3 linked regions of the Cricetulus griseus genome follow. The protein of the gene in region 2 interacts with the protein of the main gene of each other region in a pairwise test. Links are inferred from orthologs where the notes say so. Each region holds a gene or a part of one and is shown on either strand. Other genes may lie near its edges.

Evidence for each region.
Region 1: the proteins of Hax1 (region 2) and Sav1 interact in binary tests that used the Homo sapiens proteins (3 or more experiments, as listed by UniProt). The link is inferred for Cricetulus griseus from reciprocal best matches to the Homo sapiens genes HAX1 and SAV1.
Region 3: the proteins of Hax1 (region 2) and Il1a interact in binary tests that used the Homo sapiens proteins (3 or more experiments, as listed by UniProt). The link is inferred for Cricetulus griseus from reciprocal best matches to the Homo sapiens genes HAX1 and IL1A.

What each region holds. Positions count from the first base shown.
Region 1 is NC_048598.1:133,417,569-133,421,295, forward strand, and holds the end of Sav1 (protein salvador homolog 1), read left to right. Parts: intron 1-2,341; coding exon 2,342-2,549; 3' UTR 2,550-2,656; downstream 2,657-3,727. UniProt on the Homo sapiens protein: Regulator of STK3/MST2 and STK4/MST1 in the Hippo signaling pathway which plays a pivotal role in organ size control and tumor suppression by restricting proliferation and promoting apoptosis.
Region 2 is NW_023276806.1:64,554,124-64,559,543, forward strand, and holds the start of Hax1 (HCLS1-associated protein X-1), read left to right. Parts: upstream 1-2,183; 5' UTR 2,184-2,323; coding exon 2,324-2,376; intron 2,377-2,922; coding exon 2,923-3,179; intron 3,180-3,331; coding exon 3,332-3,519; intron 3,520-5,170; coding exon 5,171-5,222; intron 5,223-5,351; coding exon 5,352-5,420. Other genes in the region: Ubap2l (ubiquitin-associated protein 2-like), read left to right, coding at 1-20. UniProt on the Homo sapiens protein: Recruits the Arp2/3 complex to the cell cortex and regulates reorganization of the cortical actin cytoskeleton via its interaction with KCNC3 and the Arp2/3 complex. Slows down the rate of inactivation of KCNC3 channels. Promotes GNA13-mediated cell migration.
Region 3 is NC_048599.1:49,260,421-49,265,795, reverse strand, and holds the start of Il1a (interleukin-1 alpha), read right to left. Parts: upstream 3,146-5,375; coding exon 3,099-3,145; intron 2,012-3,098; coding exon 1,963-2,011; intron 807-1,962; coding exon 578-806; intron 1-577. UniProt on the Homo sapiens protein: Cytokine constitutively present intracellularly in nearly all resting non-hematopoietic cells that plays an important role in inflammation and bridges the innate and adaptive immune systems.

The sequences.
Region 1 (3,727 bases), on a different chromosome or scaffold from region 2:
TGTTCACAAGGAGTTAGATTGCCCAGAAAAGAGAATATCCAGGTTTCTGCAAAGAAAGTAGTCCTGTGTTAGTGAGCTTCCAGTCCTCAAGGAACAGAATAGAAGTCCAGTGAAATGCTTTCCTATGGCTTTGCTGGTGTCCCTGACACACACACCCAAAACAGCTGGAACCGTGTGCTGCACTGGGCAGCTTGCAATAACTGCTCAGTATCTTTTATTTTTTTTGAAGCTATATATATTTGTATATTAGATGGGTGAGCCTTTTGGATATACCCATTAGGTAGAACATAAATGATTATTAAATCCACTAGAATTTGTAATTAAAACTTCCTTTTATGTCTGCCCTGCAGTGATTTGAGGTATGACGTCAACATAACATAGGTATATGACTTGCTGTGTTCACATTCCTCTAATAATGGACATTTACCCTGAAAACTGTAATTCTAAAGCTTCTTGGTCCAAAGAACCCTGCCTTTCTGAAAACTGTTATGTCACTAAGCATTTTTTTGCCAGAGATAATTATAATTAGGTGTTTTTTTTAAAGCTCTCAGACTTTTCATCTGCAAATAAGAAAACTGAATTAGATTGGTGCCTTTTGTTCTCGTCCCTTTCAAAGTTTAAGTTACTACCTTAGTAGTTGGTTTAGTAGTTCCAACTCATCCTGAGCCACTTAAGCCCTAAAGGAAGACTAGAGGCCTTCCAAGATACACATAAGAACGTGTCACACATTGTGGAGTTTTTCTCCCATTTAGTCTCTCATTTTGAGAGTTCTTCTTGAATTTTGTTAGATTTTTAATTCTGTGTATGTAATTGTGCACACATATGTACAGTGCTTGAGTCCAAAAGAAAGAATTGGATTTCCTGCAGCTGGAGGTATAGGGGGTTGTGAGCCACCTGCTGTGCTGGGAACTGAACTCAGGTCCCTTGCAAGAGCTGTGCATGCTCTTACCTCTGAGCCAGCTCTCCAAAGCTATTTTCCTGGGTTTTAATTGTAGTTACTCCTCAAGAATACTTGGCCTACAAATAGTGATTCATCCTCTTTTTCTGGTTCATTGTTTACAGTAGTAAACAGTGTCCCTCATGTATATCTGTCAGCATTGAGGACACCAGTGACTTTGCCCAGTTTTCTGCATTATTACTGGAAAGCACAGTGTAGTCTGAAGTATTGAAAGTCCCCAACACTAACTTTGTATGAACTTATAAGGGCATGGGATGTGCTTTTTGAAAATTACAGAACCAGGGGCTGGAGAAATGGCTTAGTGGTTAAGAGCACTGGCTGCTCTTCCAGAGGTCCTGAGTTCAATTCCCAGCCACTACACCGTGGCTCACAACCATCTATAATGAGATCTGGTGCCCTCTTCTGGCGTGCAGGAATATATGAAGGCAGAATATTGTATACATAATAAATAAATCTTTTTAAAAAAAAAAAAAGAAAATTACAGAACCACTATAGTCTGGAGTTGGTATTAATGATTGCCCAGGATTAATATTAAAACTGAGTCTTAAACTAAATGGGCACTCTTTAATCTGAAGTAATATCTAACAGTTCCCCCCCCCTTCCTTAAAAAATAGTGTGTTTGGGGCTGGAGGGATAGCTTGATTGTTAAGATCATTGGCTGCTCTTGCAGAGGACCCAGGTTCAGTTCCCAGCATCCATATGGCAGCTCACTACTGTCTGAAATTCCAGTTCCAGGGGATCCAGTGCCCTTTGCTGGCTTTCATGGGCACCAAGCATGCATGTGGTTCACAGACACATTATGTGGGCAAAAATACCCATACACATAAAAATAATCTTTAAAAAATTCTCTCAAGTTTTAAAAAATATACTTAGGGTTAGAGAGAGAACAGTTAAGAGTGATTGCTGCTTTTGTAGAGTACCCTGGTTCAGTTCTCGGGAACCATATGGTGACTTAAAACTGTAACTCCAGTTCCAGGGGATCTGACATAATCTCTGGCTTTCTTGAGTATCAGGCATGTACACAGGACACTTACATGCATGCAGGCAAATCTTTCATACACATAAAAAGATGTAAATGAATTTTAAAAAGAGAGGGAAGAGGAAAGGTAGTATATTTAGAACCATGTGTATTAGCATGCTCCTATATTCCTGACTACTGAGGAGAGTGAGGCAAGAGGATATCCTGAGCCCAAGAGTTCAAGGTCAGCTTAGATCCCCAGCTCAAAAAAACAAAAAAAGGCTATCTAAATAGCAAGTTTTACTAACTTAAATATTTTAAAATAAAACTTGTGGGCTGTTTACTTATAATACAATGTCTATAAAAATATCAGTTTATTGTTGTGGATGCACATTTATGTATTATGAACATATGTTTTATGATAGATATGACCACATTTTGAAGTGGGAGCTCTTCCAGCTGGCTGACCTGGACACCTACCAGGGAATGCTGAAGTTGCTCTTCATGAAGGAACTGGAGCAGATTGTTAAGATGTACGAGGCCTACAGACAGGCTCTTCTCACTGAGTTGGAAAATCGCAAGCAGAGACAGCAGTGGTATGCCCAGCAGCATGGGAAGAAGTTTTTAAGTTAACTTTATCACAATCCAAGTTTTATAAGAGCTTTAAAATAGTTTCAGATAAATGACTGCAAACAAGTACTTTGGTTAATAAAGGCAACTTACTATTTGGAATTATAAAATTCTAGTTTTACATATATTTTGTTACCAAATTTTTCTCTTATTGAACCAAAAATGTTATCTTTTAAAGCGCCAATATGGCATATGCTTCCAAATGCTGTATATTAAGAAACTGCTTTGAATATTGTTGATGAAAAGGGGTACAGGAAGAGAGCATCATCATACCCAGGCATTGCACAGTCAGTCATTCTCCTTCTTATGGAATACACCCTTCTTATGGAATACACCCTTCTTGTTTAGAAAAAGGAACAGGGCGAGAACACAGCTTTGAAAAGTTGCTTATTGTGGTGTACTTTCTGTGTAGCATGGATAATAAAAACCCAGAGACAGATATTGGGGTGAAAACTGAAGATCAGAAAAGCAAAGCAGCCAGCCAGTAGAGAGTTCTTACCTGTACCAATGCTCAGACGGAAAGTGTGATTCGGTCTTCAGAGTGCACTGCATCCTCAGACTGACTCAGACTGTACTGAGCTCCTGTCTCCTCCTGCCTTTTATTCCTCTATAGTGTTGGGATTAAAGGCATGTCACTCCAAGTGCTGGGATCACTTTTGTGTGAGCTGTTTCTCTTTTGGCTGGATCAATTTTGTGTATCTCAGGGTGGCCTTGAACTAAGAGATTCATCTGTCTCTGTCTCCCACGTGCTGAGATTAAAGATGTGTGCCACCTCTGCCTGGCTTTTATGGCTAACTAGTGTGGCTAGTTTTGTACTCTGACCTTCAGGCAAGCTTTATTTGTTAGATCATAAACAAAGTATCACCACATTTCTGGAATAAGGTGGATTGACCATTACTATGGGTGTAGTTCAAAGTACAAAATAGGACTCGGAGCCTTTATTGTGATGAACTTGTATGTGATGTATGGGGTCATCCACTCCTCCTGCTCCCTAATGTAAGCAGGGCGATAGAGCCTTTCAGCAATACCTTTAAATAAGGCCTTAGCCTATGTGGGGAAGGCATGTGCAACTGTTGCTGATACTGCTTCCTTGCTTTGAACCAGAGCACACAACTCCAGTTAGCAAGGCTCTGGTGAGACACCACACAGGCTCCCTGACCACATAGTATGCTGCCTTCCAC
Region 2 (5,420 bases):
ACAGCTGGGGGGCCAACTGAGGCCCTGACCCTCTTCTCCCGGTCCCATCTTCTGAGAGGGCTTCTCAGCCTGGAAACTATGGAAACAGCATCAAAGAGAGAAAAGAATGTGGAGCGATTCCGCTGCTCCACACCCCCAGCGGCCCATCCCACACCTCAGCTTCATGTCTGTCCCTTTCCTATACCACCCCACCCTGTTGTATGTATTATAGGATTTGTATTTTCTCCCCGCCCCCTTTTCCTCTTTGCATTCAAGATTATGAAACTTTGCTGTGGGCCCTGCCTTTCCTTCACTTCTTCCTATTCACCCTGGTGGTGTATGGGTGAGGTGGGGAGGTGAACCCCCGCCCCCAAATATATATTAGCCCAACAGCCCTAAGTCTCCTCCTTTATTATTAGGAATACCAAACAACACACAAACAAATGGCGTCATAAATATGAACAGCATTGTCATATGAATTAGTTGAAGTGGTTTTTTTTTTGTACTGTGTCCTCAAACTTAATGGATTAATGTGTCTTGTATATATATACATATATATATAAAAAAAAAAGGAGAAAAAAAACAAACCTCTACCTTCAGCCTCTGCCCATTCTTGCTCCGTCTAGGATATCCTCACTCTCGTCGATGACCAGCTTGGTGAATAAGTATTACCGTACCAACTGGGCCTCTTCTAGCAGGCTCGAAGGCTGTGGAATAAAGTGAAATCTTTGCCCTTTAAGAACTCTCACCTTAATGTGCTAATATTTTGCCCATAAGGGGGATTCTCTTTCATATCCTGTGACTGGAAAGAACCACTACAAAACTTTTCTTCTAGAAACTGCCTCAACTACATCAAGTTTCAGGAAGTGAAGGGGGAAGGAATATGGATGTTTAAAAGGAAAAGAACTGGGAATATAAGCATGATTTTAAGGGATTTTTGAAGTCTGAAGCCAACTTTATCTGTTGGCTGGCAGAACTAAAGCTCAAGCGGCTTTCCCTTTATAGAAGTAGACTGCAGTAGTTTTTGTTCCTTGAGTTTTGTTTTTGAGACAGTCTTATTGTGTGACCCTGGCTGGCCTGTAACTTGGTATGGAGACCAAGCTGATCTCAAATTCAGAGGTCTGCCTGCCTCTGCCTATTAGGTGATGAGGTTAAAGATTCTCAACAAACACCATACCCTGCTTTGCCTATTTTATGTGGCCTTAGAAATGCCCAATTTCTGGGAAAGGGTTGGATGATGTAGAGCAAGACCTGTGGTGGGGCATTGTGGTAAAAAGTTTTGAACCTCAATTACATGGGAAGGGGAGTTTTATTTTCTTTAGAAGAGCCTGAGACTTACCGTATTGCCAAGGATTCAAGAGATTCGTTCGGCTTCAGACTTCCCAAACTGCAAGTATGGCTTGGGAAGTGAGGGTGTGTCCAGGTCTCATGTAGCTCAGGCTGGCATTGAACTCGTTGTGTAGACCAGGTTGGCTTCATACTGAGATCCACCGGTCTCTGCCTCTTGAGCCTGCACCACTGATTCTAACTATAGAGTCTTTGTTCTTTTCCAAGATGCTTCAGTAGTTACTCTTCCCTGCCTAGTATAAATCTTACCTTGTTGGTTGTAGTCTGTTTTTTTAAAAGTTTAAAAGAGTAGCTAGGCATGGTAGCAACGGCCTATAATCCCAGCATTTGGGAGGCAGAGTCAGGTGGATCTCTTGAGTTCGAGGCAGGCCTAGTCTATAGAGTTCCAGGACAGCAGAGAAACCGTGTGTCGAATAAACACGTTTAAAATAAATTTTTATGGCCCGAACTAACTCCTTAGTAGCTGAAGAGATTCCTAGCATCCTCATGTCTTTATCCAGCAGTAGGGAAATTGCCCTGGAAGGAGCTTAGTAAAACATTTCCCAACCTGTAGTGTTGGACGTCACATCAGTCTAGAAACAAACAAAGTGGGGGTGTTTTCTGAGCCGGGGTCCAGGCGGGGCTCGGGACAGGCCGCTCCCTTTGGCGGCTAACTTGGAACCATCCAGAGAGTAACGGAAACACCCCTTGGGGACTGGCAGATGGGCGGGAAAGAGAATCACTAGAAGGGGTGTGATCTTGGACAGCGGGGATCCGTAAGCCCACCCTCACTCAAAACTGAAAGGTAGCGTATAAGAAGCTTCGCGTCGGAGGAGCGCCGTCAGCCCCGCCTCTTCCTTCTCCGGGTTTCGGCCTTTTTACGACAATGCCGTGTTGCAGACTTGCTTTCCGGCAGCGAATGCTGAACCCTGGCTGTATCTGACAGGGTAGCGCAAGCTGGCAGTCGAGTGGTTCTCATGTCCTGCCGAAGTTTAAAGTTTCTAGGGCACCTACAGGAATGAGCTTCTTTGACCTTTTCCGGGGCTTTTTCGGCTTTCGTGGACCTCGGAGGTGAGCGTAGTTCTGGGCTGGACCTGAGGAAGCGGTGTTCTTTGGGGACGCTTGACCCCTTCACCGTATTTTTGGAAAGCTTCCTTCCCCGCTCCCTTCAACTCCTGCTGAGAGGATAGAAATCTCAACCTTGAGTACTCACCACGCCACAGTAACCAAAGCGGTGTGAAGAGGAGAGAAACAGTGCCTTTCTCCAGAGTGGGGTGATGCAACAGGGAGCTGGGCGGAGAAGACAATGGGGGCCTGGGGAATGAGCAAGTGAGAGGGACCTTAAGGGGCAATTAGGAGTGCGCAGTCAGACACTGAAGACAAGCCACGGGAGGCGTTTGCGAGGTGTGGGGGGCGGGGGTTGTCATGGGCTCTAATTAGAGACAATACAAAACCCTAATAGATCCACGAGCTTTGTTTTGACTTGGAAGGGAGCTCTCCAGTGTTTTCTTCAGCTACCTAGACCCCAACCTTTTGTCCCCATTTTACTGGCCTTGGGTTGGTTTTATTGCTTAGACAGTGCTGAAATCTTCGTGGCTTATCTGCCTCTGCTCTCAGCCACAGAGATCCCTTCTTCGGAGGGATGACTCGAGATGATGACGATGATGATGACGAAGAGGAAGAAGACAGAGGCACGTGGGGTCGAGGGAGCTATAGGTTTGATGGTTCTCAGCCTCCGGAGGAATTCGGTTTCAACTTCAGCCCAGAAGAAGGCATGCGATTCCACGACAACTTTGGCTTTGATGATCTAGTACGAGATTTCAATAGCATCTTCAGTGAGATGGGGGCCTGGACCTTGCCTTCCCACTCTCCTGGTGTGTAGATTCTCCTGAGGGAGAATATTGGGTTAGGGAGCGAAATACGGACCTTGCAGAGTAGTTGGGGATATGCTAAAGCTGATTTCAAAAAGATTTTGTGTGTTTTAAGCCCTTTCCTATCCTAGTATCACCAGCCAACTTTTTTACAGAACTTCCAGGTCATGGGTCAGAAACACCTGGTGAGAGACCGCGGGAAGGGCAGACGCTTCGGGACTCAATGCTTAAGTACCCAGACAGTCACCAACCCAGGATCTTTGAGGGGGTCATGGAGAGTCATCCAAGACCTGAATCCCCCAAACCAGCTCCAGATTGGGGGTCTCAGGGACCTTTTCATAGGGTGAGTACTCTGCACCTGAAGTGCAGTAACTACAACTCTTACTGGAATTTCTTAGAGTTGAGTTAGAATTCTAGCCCCTCTAATTAGTGCATTTGTCTGGATTTTCTTCTTTGTTGGGCTTTTTGTTTTGAGACTTGGGATTCACTGTGTAGACCAGACTGGCCTCAGGTTTAGAGATCTGCCTGTCTCTGCATCAGGATTAAAATGTGCCAGCACACCTAGCCTAAGGTTTATTTATTTTTTCTTATGTAGGACTGTTTTTTTCAGTGCATGTGGAGCATGTTTTTGCTCCACATGTGCCTGGTACTCATAGAGGTCAGGAGAGGGCATCGAATACCCGGGAACTCCAATTATAATGATTGAGAACCACCATGCTGGGATCTATACACTATGGTTTTCTGCAATAGTGCCCCCTGCCCTCTCTTTTTATTTTATTTATATATGTATTTTGAGACAAGATCTCTCTGTGGCCTTAGCTGTCCTGGAACTTGCTATGTAGACCATGCTGGCCTCCCTTGGCCCTGAGTTTCTTTGTTTGGTTTTTTGTTGCTGTTTGTTGTTCTTAAGATTTATTTATTTTAGCCGGGCGTTGGTGGTGCATGTCTTTATTCCCAGCACTCGGGAGGCAGAGGTAGGCAGATCTCTGTGAGTTCGAGGCCAGCCTGGTCTATAGAGCAAGTTCCAGGATAGGCTCCAAAGCTACACAGAGAAACCCTGTCTCAAAAAACAAAACAAAACAAAAAATTATTTATTTTGCGTATGTGTGTCTGAGTTTTTTGTGTACCATATGAGTGCCTGCAGTGTTGAGGTATTGTTGAATCCTGTGGAGCTCTGAGCTGCTTGATATCCCCAGAAAAAGCAAGTGTTCTTAATCTATGGGCCGTCTTTCTAGCCCCTTTGTTTCTGTTTTCCATTTGCAATACAGGAGCATAGAATACAAAAGGGAAATGTAAATATTCTGCTTTTTTTAATTGCTAGTTACAATTCTTGATTAAGAAAGGGTCTTGAGAGCTGGGCTGTGGTGGCACACGCCTTTAATCCCAGCACTTGGGAGGCCGAGGCAGGCGAATCTCTGTGAGCCCAGGCCAGCCTGGTCTACAAAGCTACACAGAGAAACCTTGTCTCAAGGTAGGGGTAGTCTTGAGGCTGGGCATGGTGTTGCCCACTTTTAATCCCAGCACTCCTGAGGCAGAAGCAAACTTATTTCCTTGAGTTCAAGGCCAACCTGTCTAGACAAAAAAACCCTGCCTGGAACGAACACACACACACACACACACACACACACACACACCAAGGTGGGGGGGGGGCATCTTGAGCAGGGCAAGGTGGTGCACACCTTTGATCCTAGCACTAGGGAAGTAGAGGCAGGCAAGTTTCTGTCAGTTTGAGGCCAGCCTAGTCTATAGAATGAGTTCTAGGATAAGAAACCCTGTCTTGAAAAAAAAAAACAGTCTTGAAGATGCAGGAAAGTATTTTAGGAAGCCTATTTGGTAAAAGTTCATATTCGACTACAGAAGCTGTGTGAACATAAGCTGCCCGAATGGAAGTGTTTCTGGGGTTTTGGAACTTAGGAGGAGTCTGGGGTCTCTGACCCTTCAGATTTCAGATCAGAAGGTGTCTTTTCACCAACTATGTGTGGCTTCTTCTACAGTTGGATGATATATGGCCTGTGACTCCCCATTCTAGAGCCAGAGAGGACAATGGTGAGTCTAGAGGGAGGGCACATTTACCATGTCATTCTCCTAAAGTTCTCTCAGAAGTTTCTTCCTCACATACTTGTCCTGTTTTCTTCCTTCCACTGTCTTCTGGCTTTTATCTCTCTGCCATTCCAGATCTTGACTCCCAGGTTTCCCAGGAAGGTCTCGGTCCACTTCTTCAACCCCAACCCAAATCCTATTTCA
Region 3 (5,375 bases), on a different chromosome or scaffold from region 2:
ATATGTAAACCGAGAGGAGGAGGAGGTTGTTTTGTAGCCTACAGAGAGTGCAGCCATCAATAAATGAGTAGTGTTGCATCATTTACAAAGGCAATGGGAGTAATCACAATGGCTGACATTTCTTGGGTGATGACTTCACATTAGACATTCTTCTAGTCTAAATGTTTTGAGGTATTGGCTTCTTTAATCTTTACAGGAACCCAGTGAGGTGTAAGACTTGGTCATCTCTATTCACAGTATGGGGAACTGAAGCCCAGAGAGACGGAGGATCATGACTAAGGAGATGGAACCTAGTAGAGGTCATGGGCTAATGGACTGTGACTGCTTTCTCTCCAACCAAAGACCTTTGGATGACCTTTATAATACAGCCAAGAAAGGAACCCTTCAACAACTGTTCTAGACTCAGGTTACCATTGATCTCTCCCTTCTGGAGAAGAGCAGCATTTAATCTTTCTTTGTTATAGTTATTGACCTAATGTCCTATTATTTTGGTTCCAAGATTTATTTTCTTTCTACTTCATTATCATCATTTTCTTAAAACTAAAAAATTGGATTTTTGTTATGTTTCATCCCTTACCTTCTAAATTGCGGGTTATGGTCTCCAGGTCATCTTCAGCAAAGGCCTGATTGAAGCCCAGCCGTCTCTTCTTCAGAATCTTCCCTGAGTCTGATGATGCTGCCACCATCACTAGGCTCTCCTCAAAGGTGAAGTTGGACACCTTTGAGGTTTCAGAGGTTCTCAGAGATACAAATTTATCTGTGCAATTCTCATGAAGTGAGCCACAGCTTGCATCGTAGAAGGATTTCTGTAAGGAAGGGAAGTGGCACCTGAGCGCTTACCTATGACCTCATGATGAGACTCTTTAGTAGGGTCTGTATCCTACAGACTTAGTGAGACGGATCTCCCTTCTGGGTGTAGGGAACCAACCTGTGCTTCATCCCTCCCTCCCCTCTCATCCTCCACTGCCCTTCCTTCCCTTCTGCTCCATTCCATTCTTGGATTTCCCTGAAACCAAGGCTGGGGTTGAGGGGGGGTCTTTTCACCCACCTTTAGGCTCAAAAAGAAAAAATTTTAATTAAACAGATTAACATGTGATCCTGGTGAGTGAGATCCTTCTGTCAAAAGGTTTGACATCTATTCCAGAGTACTCAAAATATTTTAAAAAATACTTTTGGCCCTCTGTGTTGCCTGCTCAAATTAAACTAACCTTAAGGTTCAAAATATTTTTTAAACCTAAATCACATTTGTACTAAAATGTGAATCTTTTTGTAATTACTTCCTAAATAATATAATCACTGATTCATAAGTATAACAATTGTTTCTATAGCATTCACAGTGTGGCAGGTGTAGTTTTAAGACATCTAGATATGATTTAAAGTTATTTCAGAATACATGTATATTTTATATAAATAGAAGGTCACTTAATATAAAGGACTTGAACATCTGCAGGAGGTGATCTCCCTAGGGGGCCTTGCAGTCAAGGACCCATGGATACCGTTGGTGTGTCTATTTTTCTGGAAGCAGCTTTTAAAACAGGTATCACAGATACACAAAATAACATGCTGAGTGTGTGTGACGTTTTCCCTTTCTCTTAGCCAGCTTCCTCTCCCTCAGTTCTGTGGGCTATCAGAGAATGATGTCAACATAGCATGTTAGGAGAGGTGTCCAGGTGAGGTGGATTGAAGCAACTGGCTAAAGATGCCAAAACTAACAATTTGAAGGAGCCTGGCCCAGAAGTTCTTAGGGCTTCAGATAACCCTTCTTCTCTGTTATGGAAGAGTCAATGAGCATGAAGAATGCCAGTTAACTATTAGTATAGAGAGGCAAGTGATCTCACTAATAATAAATAAATGTATTTTAGACCTTTAACAAAAGTGTATAATACTCAACCTTCATTTTGCATTTCTGGTAGTATGTAAAAAGAAAATCCAAATCTATAAGAATGATAACCATATGCTTACCTGACTCAGAGAGAGATGATCAAGGGCAGAACTGTATTCTTCATTTTCACTGTCAAAAACATATAAGGAGACTGTATTTTTGTTCATCATTCCACTGAGGTCCGTAGGCATCATATCTTAATGACCACATTAGCTTTTGGTAATACAGACAACATTCCTGAATACTGATTTAGACATAGGTACTATTGAGTCTGAATGCTCTAACACAGCACTGGGTTTTAGTGGCTGTTTAAGAGTTACTTCTTTCTTTGGAGAACTCGATCCCAGTCAGGATGAGAGTCAGCCTTACAGTAACTTGGGCACACGAACACACACACACACACACACACACACACACACACACACACACACACACACACTACTCTTTGAAAAGCTAAAGACTTCTGCATATTCATGTCTACACACATAGTAACTCATTTGTCTACTAATTTGGAGTTAGTAATTATTAGAACAGCTTTGCACTTTATCTGTAAAAATTAGGCATGATTAATAAATCAAAGAGCCTTATTGGACTTCAGGAAAGGCTGAAGCTGCTAAAAGAAAAGAGAAACTTTTGAAGTACTTCAGATACACTTTGTCATACATTGTTTTCACATACTAAAACAGATTCTATATTTAACAGTATTCAAGCACTAGTTTGTAGCTTCATTAGCATTAACATTAATTGCAAACAAAAACATCTTGTTAGTTAAGAATGTTCTAGAATTTCAGCTCTGCTCATTTATCTTCTGTATCAGGGTGAAGTTTCACTGTGGGTATGAGTTCATGTGCCCAAGAGCTGTTTCCTCCTCTTGACTGGGAGCAGGTTCTCCCAAGAATGAATTTTCTCTCAAACAGTTCATTAATAGCTGCTGCTGTATAGAGCATACAAACTCTATCAAGTGCCTAAGTTGATGTTAATTTAAGATTATGTAGGAGTCAGTACACCTCAAAAATATTTTTCTAAATTCCCATTTCACTCAGGGAAATACCACTTTAGCATGTTGGAGGTCTTATCCTTCTAGCTCTTCTCTGGTCTTGACTGGACTTCAGAGCCAGTGTATATCTACAGAGCCTCTGACAACATGGCACTTGACTGGCCACTTGAACACCTAGTTGGAGTCATTGAATCACAAAAAGTAGAATGTGTTTCTTACCTGTAACAGTTCTTCAGGTCTTCAAACAAGTCCGGAACTTTGGCCATCTTGACCTCTACAAAAGAACAGTGGTGGTCAGCTCTCCACCTCTGAACCCCGTGCTTGCAAGGGCAGTGACCCTGCTTCGCTCTTCTTGAGAAACTACAATGAGTGGCTGACTTATCACATGCCCAGAATTTCCTCTATTCTTCTTCATACGCCCTTACATTATTTGTATAAGCTTTGTTCTCCTCTCTTAACTTGTACATTTGTTTTAGAATGTTTTCTCTATCTTGGTATTCTTTGTGTCCAGCCCATTCCATCACACATAGTAGGCATTCAATAAAGGTGAATAGGATAAGGAAAAAAAAAAAAAGGAAAACCACCTGCATGAGGTATCTGCCTTCTATAGAGGCGAGGGAGATAGAGAACGGGAACCAGCATATCTCATTTTTGTCAGTAGAAATTTCCTATCTACAGGAAAAGATTAGGCTGAACTGATGGATTCCCTCCCAGGAATCCTGTTCAGCTGCCCCCTCAGGTCCTTATCACTAGAAAGAGAGCTCTTCTCTGAAATCTGTGATTCCAGCTTACACACCAAATCAGGAACAACAAGAGAAAGAAAGAGAACAGACTATAGCCTTACAGAAGGTGCCTTGAGAGAAGACAGTCAAGGAGCAAACAAAAGACAATCTCCATAGCCTCAGATGTGATAAGGACAATACCTTTGCCGACTCAAGCTCCAATGAGGTGACTCCCTCTCTGCCCTGGAGACTTATGCCTGAGTCAGGCTTCTCTGTCTTTTATAATCATCTCAAGTAGGTGGGGCCCCCGCCAGTGTGTCACTGGGAATTTACAGGAAATAATTCTGCTTTGTATCTTTCTATGTTCACGCAGCTTGATACTGGCCGAAATGCAGCTCATACACTTGGTAATGATGTTGTTTGCAAAGATTCCTTGGGCTGTTGACTTGATTCATCTATTTATTGCTTGTTTCATATGATTATAAACATGTAGTCTTACAAAAAAGGGGAAGAGCAGCAGGAAGTTTACCAAGACACCCAGAGCATTTGGTGGAAGAGGAAGGCAGAAATGCTCAAATCAGAGGGCTGGACTGAGTAGGATGGGCGCTCCGGGGGTATACTTTGTGTTTGGCCTAATTTGTTTATTGTGCTCCAGGACTGAATCTGGGCAGGATAATTGGCAGCTAAGTCATGGCATTTGAGGGAAAATGAGGTTTACCCCTCCCCTCTGAAGAGAAAGGTTTGCTTGAGTAAGTCAGCAGTCTGAGTATGGAATGGCAGCCTTATGGTTAGAGGGCAGAGGTGATAAAAGTGACATTGACCATAAAGATCTGGGCCCTCTCACTCCTTTGAATAATGTCAACACATTTCCCACAGAGATGACAGCTTCAAGGGAGAACTCCCAGCCTCAGTCACGTCATGGTAAAGTGACCCTGCTCCATTACATAAAGACAAGGATGGATCAAAGGTGGGCAAGGATAGCTACCCGCTTCTGCAGACAGGTACAAAGGCCCAGTCAGGACAGTGGCTCAGCTCAGCAATGGAGGCTGTGGGAAAGGAAGGTATGGATTCTTATATATGGACATGGAATCAGCGCTGCCTGCTCATTTTTATTAGAGACATTTTCAGTACCTAAGGCTGGTCCAGTTCAGGTGGTAGAGCACCTGACTTTAAGTAAATCAGGTTTCAACTTTCCTAGTTGGCATTAAAGCCACTCACATTTTAACTAAAGGTAGTGGGTGGTAGAAGAGGAAAGAAAAACAATGGCAGAGGGAGAAAGGTAAGCCACTGAAACATTCGACAAAAAGAAGCATGGGACTAGGAGTACAGTAGTTTATGGGTTAGATGAAGTATCCCCTGTGGTCTTGCTTAACCATAGATAATGGAGCTGTTTAAATGTTCATTGGTTCTATTGCATATGGAGATCCTCCAATTCCAGTTCTGCTGCCCCTGCTCGTGTTGTATTTATAAACAGGAGTCAAAGATGAGTGATATCCTAAATGAAGGCAGAATAAGTGCCAAAGCAGATTGGAGCCGAAGTGTGGGTGTCTCTCAGCATGTCTTATATGAGCATCAATAGCAGCCAGCTAACTCCATATCTTAGTTCCCCTTTAGGCAATACAGAAATGTTAATCTTGTCATCTTCTGCCTATTGGCCATCGTGTGAGGACAAGCACTAAGAAACAAATGCAAGGTGCATTGTGAATGTGGGCTGCTATGGAGATGCAACTAAACACAAATAATGACACTAATGACGGCCCCAGTCAGTCACTTG